3 linked regions of the Danio rerio genome follow. The protein of the gene in region 2 interacts with the protein of the main gene of each other region in a pairwise test. Links are inferred from orthologs where the notes say so. Each region holds a gene or a part of one and is shown on either strand. Other genes may lie near its edges.

Region 1 (7,821 bases), on a different chromosome or scaffold from region 2:
CTGAACACTTTCCTTTACTTCAGATATAATAATCAACATCTTTAAATAAAGCGAATCCCCTATTAACTGTCATAAAGCCTACAGGGAAAATCATGTTTCAGTTCTCTCCGGAGCGTTTGGGCTGAATGTTGGACAGATTCTGTCTAGAGGATGTTATCCAACACATTTTATATCGAGTTATTAGTGGAGAATTTGATATATGTGGTGTTATATTATGGATGTGTGCGCTCCCTGCGCTGGGTCCCTCCGTTAGTGGCGAGACCACTGGATTTCGATGCCAACAGCCGGTCGATGAGTAAATGACTATGATGAATGAGAACACAGGTCTGTGTGTATAGACGTATAATGTGCTGCTGTACAGTAACGGGTCGTTTGTGTGTTTGGGTTGTCTTTATTTTAATGCTCTCCTGATGATGATGATGTGGTGGGCTTTATCTGCCTGATTCCCGCTGAAGTGGGCGGGTTGTGTGACGTTTTAATTCGGGGGATGTTTTGGGGGCGGGGTTTGCGTGACGCGCTGCGAGCTAGTGAAAGAGCAGAATGAGCAGAGCGGCGTGCGCTAGCGCCATCATGAGGCCCATCCTGCAGCCAGTTCTGAAGTAACCAATCAGAGAGCAGGATTGAGCACATGACTGACATCATCTAATGCAGCGAGAAATACAGAGTAATATGGAGATCTCTCTCACGGCCCGCCGGCCGACACTCCTGCTTCAACAGACTCCTCTGCTGGACTGTCATTCACTCCAGCTCCATGTGCTTTATGCAGAATATCAGCTGTTTCCACTGCTCTGTGTGTGTGTGTGTGTGTGTGTGTGTGTGTGTGTGTGTGTGGCTCTGACTTCACCTTGCTGTGTGTTCTGCAGCGCACCGAAGCCTCCAAAGCCCAGAGCTCCTCCACCCAGAGCCCCAGTGAAGCCTGAAGCCGGAGCCGGAGCGCTGGAGAAGCCGAAGCCCTTACTCTGGGTGTTGAAGAGACTCGAACCTGCAGGCGGAGAGGAGACGCGCTCAGAGACAAGCACACACACAAACACACACACACACACGCATGCGCACACACAAGCATACACACACACACACACACACACACACATATGCATGCATGCGCACACACAAGCATACACACACACGCATGCGCACACATACACACACAGTGTCCCATTTCAGATACACACACCACACCCTAACACTGTGTGTGTTAGAGACGTGTGTGAGGTGTGTGTAGTAACTCTGCAGTGTGTGTGCACGGGACGCAGCATCTCTCCTCTCTCTCTCTCTGTATGTGTGTGTGTGTGTGTGCGCCTGTACCTGTGTTAGCCGGTGTGGAGAAACTGAAGCTTGACCCAGTGCCGGCGGAGGTGGTGGTGGAGCCGAACCCGCCAAACGCTCCTGCTGGAGACAAACACACACCACAGATGAAAAACACACACTCACACACACGCACACGCACACAACAGAGACGAAAAAAACACACAAGATGAAAACACACACACACACACACACACACACACACCGGAGATGAAAAACACACTCACACACACACTCACGCACACGCACACAACAGAGACGAAAAAAACACACAAGATGAAAACACACACACACACACACACACACCGGAGATGAAAAACACACTCACACACACACTCACGCACACAACAGAGACGAAAAAAACACACAAGATGAAAACACACACACACACCGGAGATGATGAGCACTAACTGTTGATGACATGATCAGAGTGGCACCAACACACACACACACACTACGTCTGTCTGTCTGTCACTCTCTCTCTCTCTCTCACACACACACAGGGATGGAGGCGTGGCGTGATCTGATCATGCGTGACCTTTGACCTCTCGGAGCTCATCTACCTGCTCCCCCGAGGCCGCTGCCGAAACTGAACACCGGGGCCGCAGGGCCCAAACCGAACCCGCCGAAACTAACAGCAGCGGCAGAGGGGGCGGGGCCAGGGCCCGCACTGCAGACCAGGGGCCCGAATCCTGACCACAGCGGCCCCAGGAGAAACACACACACACAAACAGGAGAGAGTCAGTGTGTTAGAGACAGCGCGCACACACACACACACACACACACACACACACAGGAGAGAGAGAGTCAGTGTGTTAGAGACAGCGCACACACACACAGGAGAGTGTGTTAAAGACAGCGCATGCACACACGCACACACACACACACACACACACACACACACAGGAGAGAGTTTGTTAGATACAGCACACACGCACACACGTGAACGCAAGCAAACACATGCTCGCACGCACGCGCACACACACGAGAGAGAGTGGGTTAGTGACAGCATATGCACGTATGCGCACACACGTGCTCGCTCACAAACACACACACACACAGAAGAGAGTCAGTCAGTGTGTTAGAGACAGCACACACACACACACTCACCCGTGCCACCAGTGCCGAAGCCGAAGCCTGTGGAAGCTGATGTGGTGGTCGGCGCTCCAAAGCCGGTTCCGGTCAGACCTGTAACCATGGCAACAGCATGTTAGCAGCGCGTGCGTGTGTGTGTGTGTGCACGCGCAGTGAAACATTACTGATGATGAGGATGAAGGCTGTGTGCTATACTGCATTAGAGGACTGTATAGGGGCGATGCTGTCTGTGATGGAGAGGAAGGGAATCCTGCTGTTATTATAGTTAATTATAACTGTTTTCATGCCTGAACATAACGAAACCACAGAACAGACCCGCAGTGAAGAGCAAGCGGCGCCCCCTGGTGGATCAGCAGTCTGGGTTGTGTATAGGGAGGATCGGCTCTGATGTTTGTTGCCAGCCTCCAGAGAAACAGCTTTACAGGATGATATCGGGACAGAACCGTCACATACAGGAGAACGGCGGGAGGAAGAGCAGCAGGGTTGACGGTGTGGTCTGCTGACGGCAGCTGAACTGCAGCACATCTCTCTAACCACAGTGACCCCGTCATCATTACAGCATACAACTCACTCTGACTGAACTGTGACAGGTCAATATAACCAACAACCAGCAGAACCCTGACCACACACACACACACACACACACACACACCACTCAGATGCAGAGTGCAGATGACGAGAGCAGAGTGTGTGTGTGTGTGTGTGTGTGTGTGTGTGTGTGTGTGTGCTGAGGAGGGAACTGGGGGAGCGCTGCTGTTATGTGTAATGGAGGTCAGCTAGTGAGTGCTGTGCAGGTAAACCTCGATCCTCCGACCTCTAGAGGTGCTCTAGCGACAGACACTAGAGGCCATGGTGTTTCGCCTCCTTGTAAGGCCTGGTTTATACTTCTGCAGCAAGTGAGCGGCGTGACCCACGGCGCATGTAACGCGTGTAGCTGTGCTTATACTGCTGTTGCTAGCTCTGTTGGTCTGCATTAACACTTCTGAAGCACTAGTGGGCAGTGAGGTGTAAATGTTCCTCTGTGTCGAGTTTCTTCGCTGCTGTTTTGCTATCCTGAACACTTCCTGGATGTACAAGTGGCTCAAACTCGCTCATTTTGAGGCAGGAACCGGCGGACGTGCAGCAACTGTAACCATGAGGGAAACACAGAACAAAACTCTCCATCCGGAGCTCCTTCACTTGTAAACATTCGCGCGGCTCTCGGTCCCGCCCAGACTCGTCAGCGATACCAAGCCGACCAATCACAGAGCTTGCGCTACGCGTTGTTGTGACGTGTAGTTACATTTTTTGAGAGGTGCACGTCAGCGACGCCGATGGCCACGGCGAATGGCTATTGGTCAGCGGCGTAGCATACGCCACCGTTTGCCGCAGAAGTATAAATCAGCCTTAACATGCGAAAGGTCGCCGGTTTGATCCCAGCTCAGTGCAGGTTGGGTGGTGTGGGACCGGCGGGGTGACACATGCAGACCTTCACCCCAACACAACCCCTGACAGAGCTCACTAGCAGACTCTACAGTGAACTCCTGCTACCAGCCAATACTGCAGAGCACAGCAGCGGTACTGGAGTGTTACTGGAGTGTGTAGTGTGTACTGGAGTGTGTAGTGTGTACTGTAGTGTATACTGGAGTGTGTAGTGTATACTGGAGTGTGTAGTGTGTACTGTAGTGTATACTGGAGTGTGTAGTGTATACTGGAGTGTGTAGTGTGTACTGTAGTGTATACTGGAGTGTGTAGTGTATACTGGAGTGTGTAGTGTGTACTGTAGTGTATACTTGAGTGTGTAGTGTGTACTGTAGTGTATACTGGAGTGTGTAGTGTATACTTGAGTGTGTAGTGTGTACTGTAGTGTATACTGGAGTGTGTAGTGTATACTGGAGTGTGTAGTGTGTACTGTAGTGTATACTGGAGTGTGTAGTGTATACTTGAGTGTGTAGTGTGTACTGTAGTGTATACTGGAGTGTGTAGTGTATACTGGAGTGTGTAGTGTGTACTGTAGTGTATACTGGAGTGAAGAGTATCAAAAAACGTCACTGATCACAAATTGAACATATTAAACTAGCTTTACCTCACAGGCCCGGGAGAGAGGGAGAGTGTGTGTGTGTGTGTGTGTGTGTTTACCGAAGCCCGTGGCGCTGCTGGCGGTGGTTGTGGTTGAGGCGCCGAAACCAAACGGAGTGGATGAAGATGACTTAAATGAGAAGCCCGGAGCGCCTTCATCATCATCACCATCACACACACACACACACACAGTTATGAACGCACAACAGCAGCCGCACAGTAATGAAAACACACACACACACACACACAGAGCAGATGAGATGAGCGCCAGTGGTTTACAGCACAGTGGTATCAGGTTTACAGCAGTATCAGCGCTCCTGCAGCGCCGTCATCATGTTTAATGTTCATTATTAATAGTTTTAGATTAATTTTACTCACTCGCGCTGCCCGACGCGCCGCCGAAGTTGAACGCCATGCTTCCGGTCCTGAGCGAAACGGTCCGCCCGGAAACAAAAGCTGTGAACAAGAGGTTCCTACCGGTAGCGTCGCGTCACACACTCCTCCGGCGTAGCGCGCGAAAACATTGATATAGATTAAAGTGAAACTGGAGCTCATCAGCAGAACAGCGCCGCTCAAATGTTCAACTGTGCTTTTGCACTCAGAGTCCGCCATGTTGGGACATTAAACCTGGCCGTTATTCAGTTGCGGCTCAGGATGTGCTGCAGTCAGCAGACGACATGAAGACAGAGACACAACCGTCAACATTAATAAAACATCTTTATTAACACACCATGATGATCATGAACACACACACACACTCGTGCAGATTCACACACTCAGGCCCTTCTTCTTCATCAGGGTCTTCTTCTTCAGCTCCGTCAGCCGTTTCTTCTTCTTCTTCTGGGGCCCCGGGGCCTCCGGCCGTGGGGCTTTGGGCTCCGCCGGGGTGTTGAACACGGCCTCCGTCAGGTCAGGCTGCAGCAGCACACACTCCTCCATCCGCTTCTCCATCCGCACCTGCTTCACCATCTGACGCTCCTTCTGCCGCGCGGCTGCAGCCAGTCGGAGCATGCGCCGGTGCTGCACACACGCGCACACACACACACACACACACACACACACACACACACACACACACACACACACACACACACACCAAAACAATATTAACACTCAGATCAATAACAGATCAGTAGCAGACAGTGCTGCGTGCGTGCGTGCGTGCGTGCGTGCGTGTGTGTGTGTGTGTGTGCGCTGCTGACCGCGTTGGGTGACTGGAAGTGTGGGTTCTCGTAGAGCGTGGGTCCGCCGAAGCTGCCCTGGAAGATGCGTATGGGGTTGAGGACGAAGCGCGGGCCGATCTCCACCAGCGAGGCGTCCTCCTCCACGATCTGCAACAGGAGAACAGCGGTCAGTGGAGCGCCGCAGAACCGCAGATCCTCTCAGAACCGCAGAACCTCACCTGATAGTTCCGGAACCAGATCCTGTGGTCTGCAATGCTGAAGCTGATGACATGATCCACGAACGGCTGACTCTTAGGGTGGTGCAGCGGGGTGGAGAAGACCTGCAGGACACGAGCAGTGTTAGTGGACATTGCAGACCAGTACAAACCAGTTTGAACCAGTCTAAACCAGCTATAAACCAGCCTAGACCAACTATAAACCAGTCTAGACCAGCTATAAGCCAGTTTAAACCAGTCTGTGCGCTAGTTTAAGTCCTGAGCATGTACACTGGGGCGAATACACACACACACACACACACACACTGGATTAAAGGCGGCTGTAGCTATGGCGGGGGCTGATCACTGAGGGCTGTTCTCACATGCCGTCTTTTCTACAAGCTAGTTTGCTTTTTCGTGAGCGGCACGATGTGCTCACGCTTTCCAGGCACACCAGGTTAAAAGAACGGTGCGAGCGCACTGTGCATCACGTGACTAGAATGGACCAATCAGCTTCATCCTTCATATGGAACACACACATTACTGCTCATGAGAGAAACACGAGATGAACAGCAAACACACTCCTAATGCAGCCTGCGACTGCACACACTCTCTCTACAGGCCAATACTCACAACCACATCAATAATACAGACAGCTGTTATTGTGCTCACTGACTGACTGATTGATCTGTCGTTTATTTTCAGTGAACACATTATTCCTCATGTTTAAATGCCAGAAACTCTTGTCTTCTGTTGAGTCCACAGGGAAATGCTGCTGGGTCTGCTGTGCATCAGGCAGCGAGCCGCAGTGAAGAGCTCTATACTGTCACCAGCTGATGCAGCACAGCAGCGCCATTACACATGACAGAGTCTTCCTCAGACTACAACCACACATCCAGCATCTGCAACCCTACATGCCAGAGTCAGACGAGGAAGATGAAGATCAGAGGAAGATCAGAGAGGAAGATGAAGATCAGAGAGGAAGATCAGAGAGGAAGATCAGAGAGGAAGATGAAGATCAGAGAGAGATGAAGATCAGAGAGGAAGATCAGAGAGGAAGAGATGAAGAACAGAGGACAAACACTGAAGAGCACCTGAGTGAAGAGCTCCTTCAGCAGTGCGTACTGCGGCTCCGAGTCAAACGCCTGAAACACACACACACACACACACACACACACACACACACACACACACACACACACAATCATCATTATTACACTACATACCATCATCACACACGCTCATCATCATCATCATACACACACACACACAATCATCATTCGTACACTACACACACCATCATCACACACGCACATCATCATCACACACACACACATCATTATTACACTACACACAACATCACACACACACAATCATCATTATTATACTGAACACACAATCATCACACACGCACATCATCATCATCATCATCACACACACGCACGCACGCACACACGCACCGGGTCGAAGGACAGCAGTGGTCTGGAGCCCTTCAGGCAGTTCCCGGTCATCTTCAGCTCCGCCAGAGTGTGAACTGAGAGAGAAATAAAGCTGCTGCTCTTCAAACACTTCAACACTTATGCACACGCAAACACACACACACACACACACACGCAAACACACATGCAAACACACACACGAACGCACCCACACACACACACGCACTGCGGTAATCACTGATTAATTGTGCATAATTATATTCAGCAAACCCCCACACTGATGCACAGTATAGCCCAGACCCTGTGTGTGTGTGTGTGTGTGTGTGTGTGTGTGTGTGTGTGTGTGTGCGCGTGTGTGTGTGTGTGTGTGTGTGTGTGTGTGCGCGTGTGTGTGTGTTTCCATTGGTGGAATTTTAATGGACTTGTACCGTTTTGAACGAGAAACTTCACCGACGGTCCGTGAGGAACATTAGAGATCCTGGAAGAGAAGAGCAGATACTGTGAACATGAACACACACCACACACACACACACACACACACACACA
Region 2 (7,689 bases):
TAAACAAAAACTGTATCAATAACCATTTCTAAAAAATCTTATACTGTTCTTAAATAGGAAATCAGTGCATTTGAATGATTTCTGGAGGATCATGAGATGTGGAAGACTGGACACATTGTGCTGGAAGTTGAGCTTTGCCATCACAGGACTGAACAGCATTCTTAAATATCACAATGCAAACACATACTGTAAATTGTGGGAAGATTTCACAAATGTACTGTGATTTTTCAATTTTTTATAAAAATAAAAGAAACCTTGTAAGCATTTTTTTATCAGATGGAAAAAAAATAAACATTTAAATTAGAGATGTCAAGATCAATATATATATATATATATATATATATATATATATATATATATATATATATATATATATATATATATATATATATATTTGTTTTTTTTTAACACATATATTGTTATGCGATGTCACAGAGTTAGACCTCTTTCTTAACTTCACACAGAAACAGCAGCGTTGCCTGCTGAGTATTTTAAGATAAGGTGCTTTTTGGTTTAATATTAGATTTTTTAAATATTTAATGTTGCACTTAAGTCCAAAAGTGAAGAATTTATGTTACTTATTACTTGATTGTTCAAGCTACCTCACAGAAGTGATCTTTGTTAAATGTTAAAATACAGTGAACTAAATAAAAAATAAGGAACATACTGGATTTATTTCTTTGCTCTTCTTTATTTTTTTAATGCATTATAAAAGTATCAGATCGAGTTTCGGTATTGGCAGATACTCAAAATCAAATGACTCGGAGGCAAAAACAAAAAAAAAAACGTGATCTGGACATCCCTTATTTAAACCACTTCAAACATGTCATGTTCATAACTACTGTACCTGAAGTAAGGATGGCTCGGTGACATGGTAATCTGCAGAACCTCACTGGTCATGTCCAGCTCAGAGAAAGCCTCTTTAAGACTGTCCGACTGCAGAATCACCTTGTTGGTCACGTTTGTACTGCAAAAGTCAAAGTCTATGGGCTCCTCGGGCTCCTGTGTGTTAATCTTGCATACAGTGACCACACCACCTTCTTCCAGGAACAAAGTTAGTGGATATCCATATCCATTGTAGCACATTCTCAAGGCGGTGCACACACCTTAATGATAAAATAAAAACAAAGATTATGTTACATTTCCCAAAAAAAGACTGGATCACAATTGTAATACACACCTGGCACTGTGCTTCCCCCGAAGATGGTGAGGCAATCGAGAAGAACAGTTAAGTTAACCTGAAAGCCAACTGCATCCTCTTTGATGATGTATTCTTGAAAGATGTCAGCCTGATGTCAGAAAATACACAAATATGCTTAAAGATTCAACTGTTCTCAGCAGAAAGTGTCTGAATTTGTCTGCTAACATCAACCTGAATGAATGCATTGGCCTGAAGGCATTTGGAGTCCTCAACTGTGACTTTCAACCCATTCTGTGTTGCATTGAAGATGGCATGATCCTTGAAAGAGATGGCTTTTAGGATGTTGGACAGATTCCTTGCATTGTCCAAACTGGCTATCAGGATGTACTGGTCAACATCGGATTGGGACTGAGTTGACAGAGGCATGTTATTACATCTGTAATGACATTTCAAAGTAGAAATGTTAAATAAATAAGTAGTAAATATTGTATACAATAAATTCACAGAAAAGTTAAAATATTAAATTTAATTAAAGAATGTAGGCAGTATTTGGTCCAATAGTTTACAGATAACAATCGTTAAATGGAAAAAAAAAAACATCAAATTTGCATATCAGATTGAAGTTTTAACATTTTCATATTTGTTTTGTACTATTTTTTCTAACTTGTTTTGTAAGTAAAACTAATGTTGTTTAAATGTGTGCTAGAATGGCTACTATGTTCTATTTTGAATGCAAACATAATCATAATTGTCAATTATAATACTAAAATATGGAATCCATAACAATTAAAAACAAGTTAAACACAGAAAAATGTATTGTCGCCGTCTTTTATTAAAAAAACGAGATATCTGAATGTTAATTTTTCTAATGAACTTGAAAATGTCTTTAACAGAAACATGAACAAGTTTCTATCAGCTGTTTACAAATTGTGACGAGAATTAATAAACATAATATTGGCAACTAGTTGTAAGTTACTAACGTTACTAAGTTAGTTAGCTAAAATGGCGTCAGGCCGTGAAAGGGCGAACATTAAACATACACAGTACATGTTCCTGTTGCTGAACTCACCTGTTAGATATATGAAATATGACAAATTAATATCATTTTAGAGTTTGGCGCCCTTAAATTGTTGCCATTAGCTCTTCTTCTTGTGATTTTGACTAAGTTTAGCTTCCCATCAGTTGTCTCGCGCGCGCATATGGGTCTGATGCAGAACTGCAGGACGAGTTCATACATAAACGTTTACAGTATTAGGAGGGGGTAGGTTTTTAAAGTTGGCTATGAATTTGTGTTACTACACTATTGCAAAACAGATAACATAACCGCTTATTCAGTTATTTATGAGACATAAGGGTGTTTATTTAATTTAAAGAAGGCGAGATCTCAAACATAAATATATTTAAGATGCACTCGTACACCCCTCCGTTTCATCACGAGTTGGACGGGCCGTCGCCAGACAGATGCGAGGAAGCGGTCGGTCGGTCCAACAGAAGTGCCACATAACCAAACAAAAGTCAGGTAGGGTTATGACATTTACTAGTTTATTTTACTTTATAAAGTGCCATTTTGTTCAGTAATTGTAAATATTGTATATACAGTTTAATAAGATTGTGGAGTTCCCAGCTGGTTTGTTTGTTTGTTTGTGTTTATCTATCTCAATGGCAACCAGACCATATCAGCAACAAAGCGAATTTTGTGAACAATAGCATCTCTACCTCTTCTTTTAAGTAAACATACTCTACGCTTACGTGGTTGGTGCAATGTAACGACTGTGGTAGTTTCATGTAACGTTACTTCAAATGAACCTGCTACGTTAACTAGCTAATCCGTTAGCTAGCTCATTGTGAATTGGGATATGCTTTATTGCAAGAGATTGTCATGATGGAATCAGATTGTTTTGTTTATCATTGCTAAAGCATTTATCACGTTATATTGTATTATCTTCGTGTGGTGGAATAAAGAGTTGCTTTAACATGTGATAAAAATAAGTTTATATATATATATATATATATATATATATATATATATATATATATATATATATATATATATATATATATGAGAGAGAGAGAGAACTATGATGTGCAATATAATAAAAAAGGTTAGGTTAAAAAGGAGTGTTTACATGATGTCACGGCAAAATTTAAATGCTAGTAAGGCTGTTAAATATTTAGGGCATGTCATTACAGAAGATATGAGTGATAAAAAGTACATGTACAGGGAACGTTTAAAGTTATATGTTGAAGCAAATTTGCTAGGGAGAAAGTTTTCGGAGCAGGTTAAAAGTTAAACCTCTTTAGAACTTATTGCAGTTCTTTATACACAGCTCCTCTGTGGTATAATTAAATAAAGTGTCCATAAGCTCCAGGTTGCATACAATGATTGTATGGAGATTCTCTTAAAAACATAGATGGTGTAGTTAGGCATGGGCCGGTATAGGATTCTGACAGTATGAAAACCATGAATAAAAAATATCAGTTTCACGGTATTAAGATTACTGCTCTGAAATATATTCTTTTTAAATGTCTGGGTAAAAAACTAAAACTTTCCCCCCTTTGAACACAATATTTATTTTTCAAATATTTAGGAGCAGTTAACAAATCAGACTAAAAAGTTCAAATGAATCCATGACTTCTGCTGTCTTTATTTATTTTAAAAACACTTAATTCATTACAATTTAACAGGTATCTTTGAATATTTTTTTCTGTTGGAGATACTGTTGTCCCAAAAAACAACAACAACAAAAAATGTTAATGAAAAATCTTACACATACCTTAGGAACTGTATAGCAGAAAATTATAGCAGTTTTAAAACCTTGACTTTTCCCAACTATGGTATACCTTGAAAACTGTTATCGTCCCATGCCTAGGTGTAGTACAGGTGAATTATTTTGTGATGTAAGAGTTTGATCATTTTTTGCTTTGGATGAGAAATTTGATCTATAAGTTTATTTGTCGATAAGAGAATTCTCAGAATAGCATTTTAATGTTAAACCCTAGGCTTATGGAGGTGCTTTATCAGTCACCTTTAAAATATTGGCATAACTGTATTTTTTAACGTATTGTGTGGTTTATATTGTCTTTTGTACTATTGGACCTAGTGTCTAAAAAAGATTTTATATATATATATATATATATATATATATATATATATATATATATATATATATATATATATATATATACATACATATATACAGTATATATACAGTGAGAACATTAAATATTGGGACATCAACACAATTCTAACATTTTTTGCTCTATACATCAACACAACGGATTTGAAATTAAGACGGTCAGTTTAAATTTGAGGGTATTTACATTCAAATCAGGTGAAGACTTCCAGACTTCAGGATGTAATTGACTGCAAATGATTTGCAACAAAGTATTAAAAAGTTAAAGTTTGATTCATGATTATTATTCTATCCCATTACTTTCGATCCATTAACGAGTGGGAGGCACATATGCAAACTGTTGTAATTCCTACAGCGTTCACCTGATTTGGATGTAAATACCCTCAAATTAAAGCTGACAGTCTGCAGTTAAAGCACATCTTGTTTGTTTCAATTTAAATTTGTGTTTCTGTATAGAGCACAAAATATTAGAACTGTGTCTTTGTACAAATACACACACACAAACAATGTATATGTCAATATAGTTGTATACTGGCCCGGATTGGCTAATCTGGAGAATTCCGGGAGGGCCAGTCCATTTTTTTTGGCCACTAGGCCAAATTTTTTTTTATTGACCATAGCCTCACTCTTTTTATTCATTATTTGGCGCAGCTCCGCTCTTTTTATTTATTTTCTAGCAGCCCCGTGAGCAAAATGCAGCCTGCAGGTTAATGATGACAGCAGCGCCTAAGTGAATATAAGAATTCAAATAATTAATATTAGTGAATATTACACCTGCTCAATGAAAATCAGATGATTCAGTACATTAATAAATCTGACATAACTTGATCAGAAATCTAAAAAGAGGAGAAAAAATGGTCAAATGGTCCGCACGTTGCGTTACAACGCTGCCAACCCGAGTTCGAACCTCACCTAAATAATCTTTTTTTTTTTTTTCTTTTCATTTTTAGTGTTAGTATAATACTGATTGGGTTACTTATGTAGGTGTACATATTTTATTTTTTGTGTGACCGCCCTTACAAAGGACTGGATATCTATAAAGAATTTTGCACAGAATATATATTCGGATATTGCAGGAAAGGACGTTGTAAAGAATAGTGTTGGAGATTTAGCTATCCCTTTAATCTTCTCATATTTATGAAAAACATTTGAACTTCTAAAGCAGCTGTGTCCTTGAAAAAGATTGTATATTGTCATTAGAAACTAAATTAGAAATGACGTTATTTTAATATAGTCAGTCGTGAACTGAGGTGGGCCGGTCTAAGGCTTGAAACTCCAGGGCTAAAAAGCAGTCCCACTCCGGCCCTGCTGGTATATAAATGTTCAGAGCAAAACATCGTTTCAAACTAATTAAATGACATTTTAGCCATGTTGTACATCAGATTAACGCGAAAAAGTTTTTTAGAACATCATTGCAAAAGCAGCAAACTGAATATTCTTAAAATGCATTCTGAAAGTTCAATAACAATAAGTAATTATTACTTATTTTAAAGTGATAAAGCATGTATGTTCATTATCGTTGTGATATATTATTGAATACTGGCACGTCTAGACATTTTACTTTGCAAAATCAACACTGTATTTGTCAGTATTGAATACAATAAAATTATGCATATTTTTCTTTTAACATACTTCTGTTTCTGTATAATTATCAGCCATTATTGAGTCACACAGGCAGGTTACGGTCCTCTGGTCATGGCTAAAGACCCGTTAGCAGAGGCTGGTCTTCATTTTGATGAGCTCAACAAACTGCGAGTACTTGAGCCTGATGTGAGCCAGAAAACAACTGAGCTCAAAGAGGAATGTGAGGAGTTTGTCGACAGTAAGTGTTTTTTATTTTTTAATCTCATTGTGAAGTTTATCTCTCTTAACTGAATTTCTTTGCTTTTTGCAGTCCAGATCAATAACTTCTCCTTTTGCTTTTGAAAACAGAGATCGGACAGTTTCAGAAAATTGTAGGTGGACTTATTGAACTTGTGGATGAACTTGCGAAGGAAGCCGAAACTGAAAAAATGAAGGTACGTTGTTGTTTTAAACTATTAGCAGTGCATATTTGCGTTTTGTATTTATATATGGTTCACCTTCAGGCCATAGGGGCAAGAAATTTGCTGAAATCGGTTGAAAAGCAACGGGAAGCCCAGCAGCAACAGCTTCAGGCTCTGATTGCAGAGAAGAAAATGCAACTGGAAAGGTAAATATGATAATACATCATAATACATCATTATGGTCTGATATTTTTCTTCAGTTCTATTTTTCAGTCATTTTTCAGTTACTGCATGGTAATTTCCAACTTGTTACTTCTAAAAGAGAACAAAAGAAAGAGCATCACCATAAATCTATTACAGCATTTGCATTGGCATGTGCACAGTGCTAGTTAGCAACTAAATACATGTTATCTGCATTACGTAATCAGATTCTGAAAGTTAGGTTGTAACTTGGAATTGAAGTATATAACATTTTAAAATAATGAAACATACTTACATACATACATACATTTTGGACTCCTCCTTTTATCTTTCACTCACAGCAAAGTAACTGTTGGAGGGGCGTGGTTAAGCATATATCACCCAAACTTGTGTAATCAGAGGTGTAGATAGTAAGTGGTCAGAATTTAATTAACGAATATCAAAACACTGAACATCTTTTTCACTGAATTGACTAATTCAGAGCACAGATTAATTTCAGCGTGCTAGCAAAATAAACATGTGGTTACATCAGTTGGTAAGTGAAAAGTTCGTAATCTAAAAGTAGTTGAAATACATAAACCATTACCTAAAATGAACCACAGTTCTTCATGATCATCAGTAATCAGCAATTGACTACAGTTTCAAAGTAATCTGCCCAGAACTGTATGCCGTTCATTTTAGGCCACCAATATTGCTTATGACAAGGGTTTCTGAATGTTGCATACAGCCACTTCAAGTAGTGAACAGCATTGTGTTTATGCTCTGAATTTCTCTTCAAGACTAAAAAGTCTTTTTGTTTTGCAGGTATCGAATAGAATATGAAGCTCTTCAGAAAGTGGAAGCTGAGCAGAGTGAATTCATTGATCAGTTTATACTGCAGAAATAAGAGCACTGTGTTTCCTCTCTCTGCTGGACAGGAAAAATGATGCTATGCATCTTGATTCACATTGACTTCCTAATAAGTGCAAGGTCTCAAACTAGATGAACTGAATTGAGCAGTTATGGCAGACAACAGACGTCTGTTTCAGCCTCAACCTCACAGCATTGAGTGCTTTTGCATGGCCAGTTCCTGGAGGCACATCCTTGTAATCTTTCCAACCATAGATCATAATCTCAGATGAAACTATTTATATACAAATGTTATTTATACTATTTATATGAAAATTAGTTTGTAAATCTGATCTTTTTTTTTACAATAGGGAAATACAGTATTTGCATGTTACTGTAA
Region 3 (7,552 bases), on a different chromosome or scaffold from region 2:
ACATAAACAAAGTAGGCTAAGAATAATGTTCATTTTCCATTTAAATTTCTGACAGCACTTAAAGGTTTTACACAATAACTAATAAAAAAAATCATGATTAACAGCAAAACTGCAGAAAAACTACATTACCCATGATGCTGTGCTTTATTTACTTCTATAAAGCACCAGGAATAACACTCTCAGAATAAATATTTGTATAAATGTGCAAAATTGACAATATGTTGTTTCTATAGAAGCCAGCAACAGCTTTAAATCAAGAGTTTTTTTTTTCAATTTGATTTCATCAATTGCAATGCTTCATCGGGTTGTAGTTTTTATTCTTATTAAAGCAATTAAATGGATATTTCCCCTCGCATGGTTTTTAACCTTTAAGAGTTTCCTTTTTCTGTTGAATAAAAAAAAAAAGATATTTTGCTGGGACCCCAACATTCTTCAAATATCTTATTTTGTTTATTCAACAGAAAAAAATTAATAAACTCATATAGGTTTTTATCCAGTGAAGGGTGAAGAAATTATGACATTTTTTGGGGAGGTGACCTATCCCTTTAAGTAACTTTTGATATTCAGGTATTTCTTTTATTTTGGTTCATTGCTTATATAGGGTTCTTAATAAATGTCTATGACGAAAATGAATGTGAAACTTCCAAAATTGGTTCATCTAATTCACCTCTACCAGGTCTTTGGATTGTGGAATAAACTAGACAGTGGAGGAAACCCCTGCCAACATGGCGAGAACATGCAAACTCCACACAGACATGCCAACTTGCCCAGCCTGGACTTGAACCAGAGACCTTCTTGCTGTAAAGCGACAGTGCTAACCACTGAGCCATCGTTCTACCTGACCACACACTAGTAATGCAAGAAATACAGTAAATAGTTGAATGTTAAGATTTATCAGTGTTAATAATACTGCATCATCCCAATCAAAAAAATAACACATAAATACTTACTGCTAAAGGCCTCTGGATATTGCTTTGCAACCTTGCCTTTTAACGTCCTGAGGAAACACAAAATATATTAGACGTTATGCAGCCTTTTTTTCTGAGCAAAAAAGTATGTCTATACATTTTACCATATTTTACAAAAATGTAATCTTTTCATGCACATTTAGAACAATAATTAAGTCATGCCATATTAAAAGACTCTGTTTAGGGCTCACAGTGGAGCAAAAAATACTAATTAATTGTCATTTTAAATCTTTACACTTTGCCTTCTGTTAGCTACCAATTTGTCAGTAATACTCTTTTAAAAAAATCTTAAAATATGAATACAATTTAGTATGATCACTTATTACTTGTTTATTTAACACTTTAACTGCCCCACTAAGAAAAATGTTTTGGATTGCATTTCTTAACTCCTAATGTCACTAGTAATGCACTCAATGCAAAACACATCCCATCATTTCTAAAGTATCAGCATCTACCAAATGGTAGATATGTTGGTTAATGGTAAAAGTACCAGAACTAATAAATATACTTTGAAAAATCGGAAAATATGAAGTGTAAGACTGATTATTTAAAAATAGATTCAAAATAAAACATTTCTGAATGATTTCTGAAAAATTTGAATACTATTTTTTTTTAAGTATACCATAAAATATTTTAGATTCTCATTTAACATGTTTTCTTGTTTGTTTTTTTGCAATCAAACCAAAATCAAGTGTAGTAGTGTGAACCATTATTTAAAACAGTCATTTCTTGAATGACTTTAACAGTCATTGTTTAAAATCAGTAAATATATGGTCAACCATTTGGATGAGCAGGCAGTTAAATGGTTAATAGGGGAGGGCAGAGCACAAAGTAACGTGGAGTAAAATAGAAAACAAGGTATTTGCGCAGGGTTAACCATGCCATGCTTCCGAAGTTTTCACCACAGTGTCGGTCGGCAAATGTCTTCCTGCCAATTATTGAAAACTTTCAGGGAAATTTTAATGAGAAATACAGGAGAAACCGTTTTTGCAGCATAAAAGTTTTTTTTTTTTTTTTTTAGTTGGTATTTTTTATTTAAAAAAAAAATCTGTGTAAGTATGCAAGTAAAATCTTATATTGCTGTGATTACCTTCTTCTAGGCTGAAAGATGGAACCATTTTGAAAGATGTAAAAAAAAAAACTGTGACTGATAATATATATATATTTTTTTTTTTTTGAGTGTAATGTTCAGAACTTTTTATACAAAATGTTTTATAAAAGAAAATATTTTTTAATAGAAAAAAATTTATTTTATAGCTAATACTGCAAATAAGTGCATTGTATAATAATGTACAATAATGAAATAAATCCAAATGTCTTTATCCAACAGATAAATAAATAAACATATTGTGCTATGTTGAATAAAAATAAACTGAGCAATGTACTGAGGAAATATAGCTACTATTTAAATAAACTGATTTTAAATAAATTGTGTGAGAGCTGACTTTATAAGCATGTGTTACAACTAACCCTCTGTCTGTTACAACTTGCCCCACATGTGGGGTAAATAGTAACATTTTTACTCCCTGCACTTTTGGCAATAATACACAGAAACCATAGGTCTGAAAATCATACAACCATTGCTCATTGGTAGGAGAGGCTTGTGTGTTGTTGGTAAAAATAAATGGTTCAGGGTTCAGACACATTTTTACTACTAAAATTCCATGACTTTTGCATGATTTTTCCAAAACTTTTAAGTAAATTTTTATGACCTTAATGTTTCATGCAATGTCTACATATGCATGGTAAAAGAAAAACAATGCAGGTTCAAATTGATTACAGCATATCGTAAAACAAGCAACAACCTATTAAGTTTTAATTTATATTTACATCTATGTAAAATTGATTCAGATAATGCTTACATCACACTAATATTGTGAGAATGTGACTGGCAAAGGACAGAAAAGCAGTAAATAACCTATATTCAAGTATAAAGATTTCTGTTTTCCATGATTTTTCCAAAACTTTGTGGGTTTTTCTCTTTTTCCCAAACTTTCCCAAGCCTTGAAAAAGGCATGTCAAAATACTACGACTTTTCCAGGTTTTCCTTGACCGTATGAATTCAGATGGTTTGTCTAACTCCATTACTTTGTTCATTATTTGGCCAAAACCAAAAAGTGTTACTTTGTGCCCCGCTCTCCCCTATACACAGGTGAAAACTAGAGTACATTTTCTATTTACACTTAAATAATGTACTGACTTACAATGTAATATTACTCAACTAATTTGTTGAGTTTAATTTGTGAAAAGTTACTTTAATGGCATTTTAAATGACAAAATAGTAAAATATGGTAACACACTCATTGCTAAACATCACTCAATTCAATCTTAATTTGCAAACATAACACCTTATTCTTCTGAAGATGCTGTCCAAGTCTTTCTTCATCTCTATCAAAGTCCTGGTGTGCATCAGAAAGTGTTCATTCATCTGCTGTAAGCGCACATTGGACAAGCCGTTGAAGTTGATCAGCATCTCATTGGTTTTCTCAAAGCGGTCCAGCCTGTAGGACATGCATCAAAACAGGTTTTAAACAGCTTCCTTTTTAGGTACTTTACTAGAATTTAGGTACGTTAAAGTTGGTTTTAAATTCAACTTGTGACATTCTTCCTATATTTTGAGGTGAAGTTGGTTTTATATTCACACATTCAGACTTTCTCTTTAATAATATAATTTCAGAAACTTACTCTTTGCGAATACTAAATAGTGGAAACATATTAGCAGTCAATGAGCATCAGACTAGGTTGTTTATAGTCAAATAAATAGTGGTTATGTTGTTTTGAAGTCATTCTTACACAGGATTTCAGACCCAATGTTTTACCAGTACCATGGTAAACAATATAGGGACCATATCACAAGTGATCACTGAAAGAATGTTCAAATATAAAACCAACTTTACCTCAATTTCCTTATGTTTACCGTGGTAATTTGAATAATCGAAATCAGGGCGAGGCAGTGGTGCAATAGGTAGTGCTGTTGCCTCACAGCAAGAAGGTCTCTGGGTCGCTGGTTCGAACCTCGGCTCAGTTGGCATTTCTGTGTGGAGTTTGTATGTTCTCCCTGCCTTCGTGTGGGTTTCCTCCGGATGCTCCGGTTTCCCCCACAGTCCAAAGACATGCGGTACAGGTGAATAGGGTAGGCTAAATTGTCCGTAGTGTACGAGTGTGTAAATGTGTGTGTGGATGTTTCCCAAAGATGGGTTGTGGCTGGAAGGGCATCCGCTGCGTAAAAACTTGCTGGATAAGTTGGCGGTTCATTCCGCTATGGTGACCCCGGATTAATAAAGGGACTAAGCCGACAAGAAAATGAATTATATGAAATCACAAAGACTATAGAATACATAGAATACAATATGCCTTACAGGGACTTTGGTGTGACTTGAAAACAACATTAGCACTATTTATTTGACTGTGAACAATGTTGCATTTTGATAGTCATTGGCTGCTAATATGATTCCACTGTTAAGAATTTGAAAACGACACTTTTCTGAAGTTATACTGTTAAGGAGAAAGTCTGGATGTGTGAATATAATCCGAATTTTACCTCAATTTCACTAGACAGGGATACTCACATATGTCTCTGGGCTTGAATGATGGCGTTCACATCCTCAGAGTTCACCATACTGAGCATCCTGTTACAGAATATTCCCGAAGCTGTGGGCTCCATTTGAACTTTTTCGAGAGCAAAGCACGAGATTTATTGAGTTATGCTAATAATAAACCGATACAGACGAGTGTAATCGCTTACGTGCTAAAATATTCGCTTTCTGACTAGTTTTCGTCTGACTTTGTTTGTTTCTAAAGCGTCGCAGTCTGATGCAGGAGGTTTTGCATGTATGCAGACTTTTATTGTATTCCTAAAACGATCAAACATTTACTGGACTGAGATGCAGGCAGACATTTTTGTTGTGGTGTTGTCATATGATCGCTGAGAGATCGTGACGCATTTGGGAGGCGGCATCTAGAAGGTTTTCTTAGCGTTGATTGGATGTTCAGAAAGACAGAAAGAGGGGTTTAAAAGGGCTTTAAAATGAAATGTAGATTTATAATGCGCTTTCTGTGATGATAAAGAAGAGAGTATTGCTCATTTATGTTATGGTTGTATTTATACACAGTTGTTTTGGTGTTATCTTTTTTTTTTTTTTGGTAAACGTTATGAATATTGCTTTTCAATTCAAAGAAAAAGATTATTTATTCTTTATATGAGAATACTGTCTACTTTATAATGTGGTGTTTTGTAATTTGCTAATTATATATGGAAATATTTTTATTCATAAATGTACATGTGCAGTGGAAAAACCTAATTTTACTCACTTAAAAATAGAAATAGGACAAGGACAATAAAAGAAACAAAAAATACCAAACAAAAAGAACTGTTATTATTATACTATTATTATCTTAAAGCCTTAAATGCTGTCTTTGAATAATTGTATTTTTTTATTTTTGTTTTATGTTGTATTTATTTTTATGTAAACATAATGTTTTTATTCCCTTTGTATGTTCTGTGTTCTAAAATTGCAATAAAAAAATAAATAAATAAAAAGGGCTTTAAAATATTGTTTTAATTTGTTTTAACATACAATATAAAATAAGAATACAGTATCCCAAAATGACTTCAGTACTATATGCACCACATGAGATGGATATTATGAATATATATATATATATATATATATATATATATATATATATATATATATATATATATATATATATATATATATATATATATATATATATATATTAGGCCTGTATTTTATATTTCGGTAAATATTAGTTTCTATTTATAAATATAAATGTTATTATGAATAGTGGAAGTAATTTATTCAGTTTATTTAAGCATTTTCTAAACCTATTAATATAAATGGCGTTATATGTAAACTGTATTATTACATTTTTAAGAAATACTTTTTTATTAATTGATTTTAATACATTTTAATTATGTAAAAATATACATTTGCATAATTAACTTATTTGTATTAATAGTATATATTGTTTGAAGATTGCTTATTATATTATTCGATTTCAGTTTATTATACACAATGTAAAAATGATATGACAAAAGTCAACAATATTTTGTTACTTTAACTTATTTAAATAAGTTAATAAAGCTGTATGGCATTGATTTCTGAAGTGTATAATGTTTGGCATTACAGAATTATTTCTAAATGGATCTTGTCACTGAACACTACCATTATACATAATGTACAGTTGAAGTCAGAATTATTAGCCCCCTTGATTTATTAGACCCCCCTGTTTATTTTTTCCCCTCAATTTCTGTTTAACAGAGAGAAGATTTGTTCAACACATTTCTAAACATAATAATTTTAATAACTCATTTCTAATAACTGATTTATTTTATCTTTGCCATGATGACAGTAAATAATATTTCACTAGATATTTTTTAATACACTTCTATGCAGCTTACAGTGACATTTAAAGGCTTAACTATGTTAATAATGTTAAGTAGGTTAGGATAATTAGGCAAGTTATTGTATAATGATGGTTTGTTCTGTAGACTATCAAAAATACAAAGTTTAAAAGGGCTAATCATTTTGACCTTAAAATGGTTTGTAAAAAATTAATAACTACTTTTAATCTAGCAGAAATAAAGCAAATAAGACTTTCTCCAGAAGAAAAAATATTATCAGACATACTGAAAAAATGGCCTTGTTCTGTTAAACATCATTTGGGAAATATTTAAAAAGAAAAAAAAAATCAAAGGGGGGCTAATAATTCTGACTTTAACTGCATACACAATTTAACCTTTTATTTTTAGCCAGTTTTTAACTGGTGTGAGTTGAGATGACGACTACAGCTAGTTAATTTGATTTAACTGAAAAGTTAGACAGCAAGATTTATTTCAGAGTGAATTATATGTGTGTGTCTTTGTGTGTGTGTTTTAAAATATTATATAGATAAATTCATATAGATTTAGGTTAATTATTGTTATTTGATATTTTGGACGTTATAAATTCTTAAACAAGATTCAGCGATGCAGAGGTGCAGTAGGTAGTGCTGACGCCTCACAGCAAGAAAGTCGCTGATTCGAGCCTCGGCTGGGTCAGTTGCCGTTTCTGTGTGGAGTTTGCATGTTCCCCCTGCGTTCGCGTGGGTTTCCTCCGGGTGCTCCGGTTTCCACCACAATCCAAAGACGTGCGGTACAGGTGAATTCGGTAGGCTAAATTGTCCATAGTGTATGAGTGTGTGTGAATGAGTGTGTGTGGATGTTTCCCAGAGATGGGTTGCGGCTGAAAGGGCATCCGCTGTGTAAAAACGTGCTGGATAAGTTGGCGGTTCATTCCGCTGTGGCGACCCCGGATTGATGAGGGGACTAGGTCGAAAAGAAAATTAATTCTTAAACAAGATTATTTGACATTTTTGTATTTGTGTATACACAGATTTTCAGCATTATGATCTCAATACACCCGTTGACATCTAGTAGAGTAGAAATTACATTTTATGCAAAACAATTTTAACAAAAATCAAAAAACTAAATCTCAAGCGTATCTTGCTATTTTAATTCTATTTTTAGTATTTATTCAAATTTAAATTAGTTTTTTTAAAGTAACATTCTCAGGGCACTG

Evidence for each region.
Region 1: the proteins of ift20 (region 2) and nup54 interact in binary tests that used the Homo sapiens proteins (3 or more experiments, as listed by UniProt). The two-hybrid records come from large-scale screens. The link is inferred for Danio rerio from reciprocal best matches to the Homo sapiens genes IFT20 and NUP54.
Region 3: the proteins of ift20 (region 2) and kxd1 interact in binary tests that used the Homo sapiens proteins (3 or more experiments, as listed by UniProt). The two-hybrid records come from large-scale screens. The link is inferred for Danio rerio from reciprocal best matches to the Homo sapiens genes IFT20 and KXD1.

The regions. Positions count from the first base shown.
Region 1 is NC_133196.1:122,186-130,006, forward strand, and holds the start of nup54 (nucleoporin p54), read right to left. Parts: upstream 4,889-7,821; 5' UTR 4,874-4,888; coding exon 4,837-4,873; intron 4,612-4,836; coding exon 4,519-4,611; intron 2,494-4,518; coding exon 2,416-2,493; intron 1,998-2,415; coding exon of another isoform or gene 1,869-1,997; intron 1,390-1,868; coding exon 1,306-1,389; intron 983-1,305; coding exon 845-982; intron 1-844. Other genes in the region: bxdc2 (ribosome biogenesis protein BRX1 homolog), read right to left, coding at 5,227-5,478, 5,661-5,789, 5,861-5,962, 6,931-6,981, 7,297-7,370, 7,704-7,753. UniProt on the Homo sapiens protein: Component of the nuclear pore complex, a complex required for the trafficking across the nuclear membrane.
Region 2 is NC_133190.1:26,249,270-26,256,958, forward strand, and holds the start of ift20 (intraflagellar transport protein 20 homolog), read left to right. Parts: upstream 1-2,600; 5' UTR 2,601-2,660; exon of another isoform or gene 2,661-2,664; intron 2,665-5,926; exon of another isoform or gene 5,927-5,930; 5' UTR 5,931-5,970; coding exon 5,971-6,097; intron 6,098-6,207; coding exon 6,208-6,293; intron 6,294-6,362; coding exon 6,363-6,466; intron 6,467-7,265; coding exon 7,266-7,347; 3' UTR 7,348-7,689. Other genes in the region: cell cycle checkpoint protein RAD1, read right to left, coding at 848-1,106, 1,181-1,289, 1,373-1,567. UniProt on the Homo sapiens protein: Part of intraflagellar transport (IFT) particles involved in ciliary process assembly. May play a role in the trafficking of ciliary membrane proteins from the Golgi complex to the cilium.
Region 3 is NC_133200.1:21,950,533-21,958,084, reverse strand, and holds the start of kxd1 (kxDL motif-containing protein 1), read right to left. Parts: upstream 4,889-7,552; 5' UTR 4,633-4,888; coding exon of another isoform or gene 4,538-4,632; 5' UTR 3,886-4,537; intron 3,470-3,885; coding exon of another isoform or gene 3,442-3,469; coding exon 3,317-3,441; intron 998-3,316; coding exon 951-997; intron 1-950.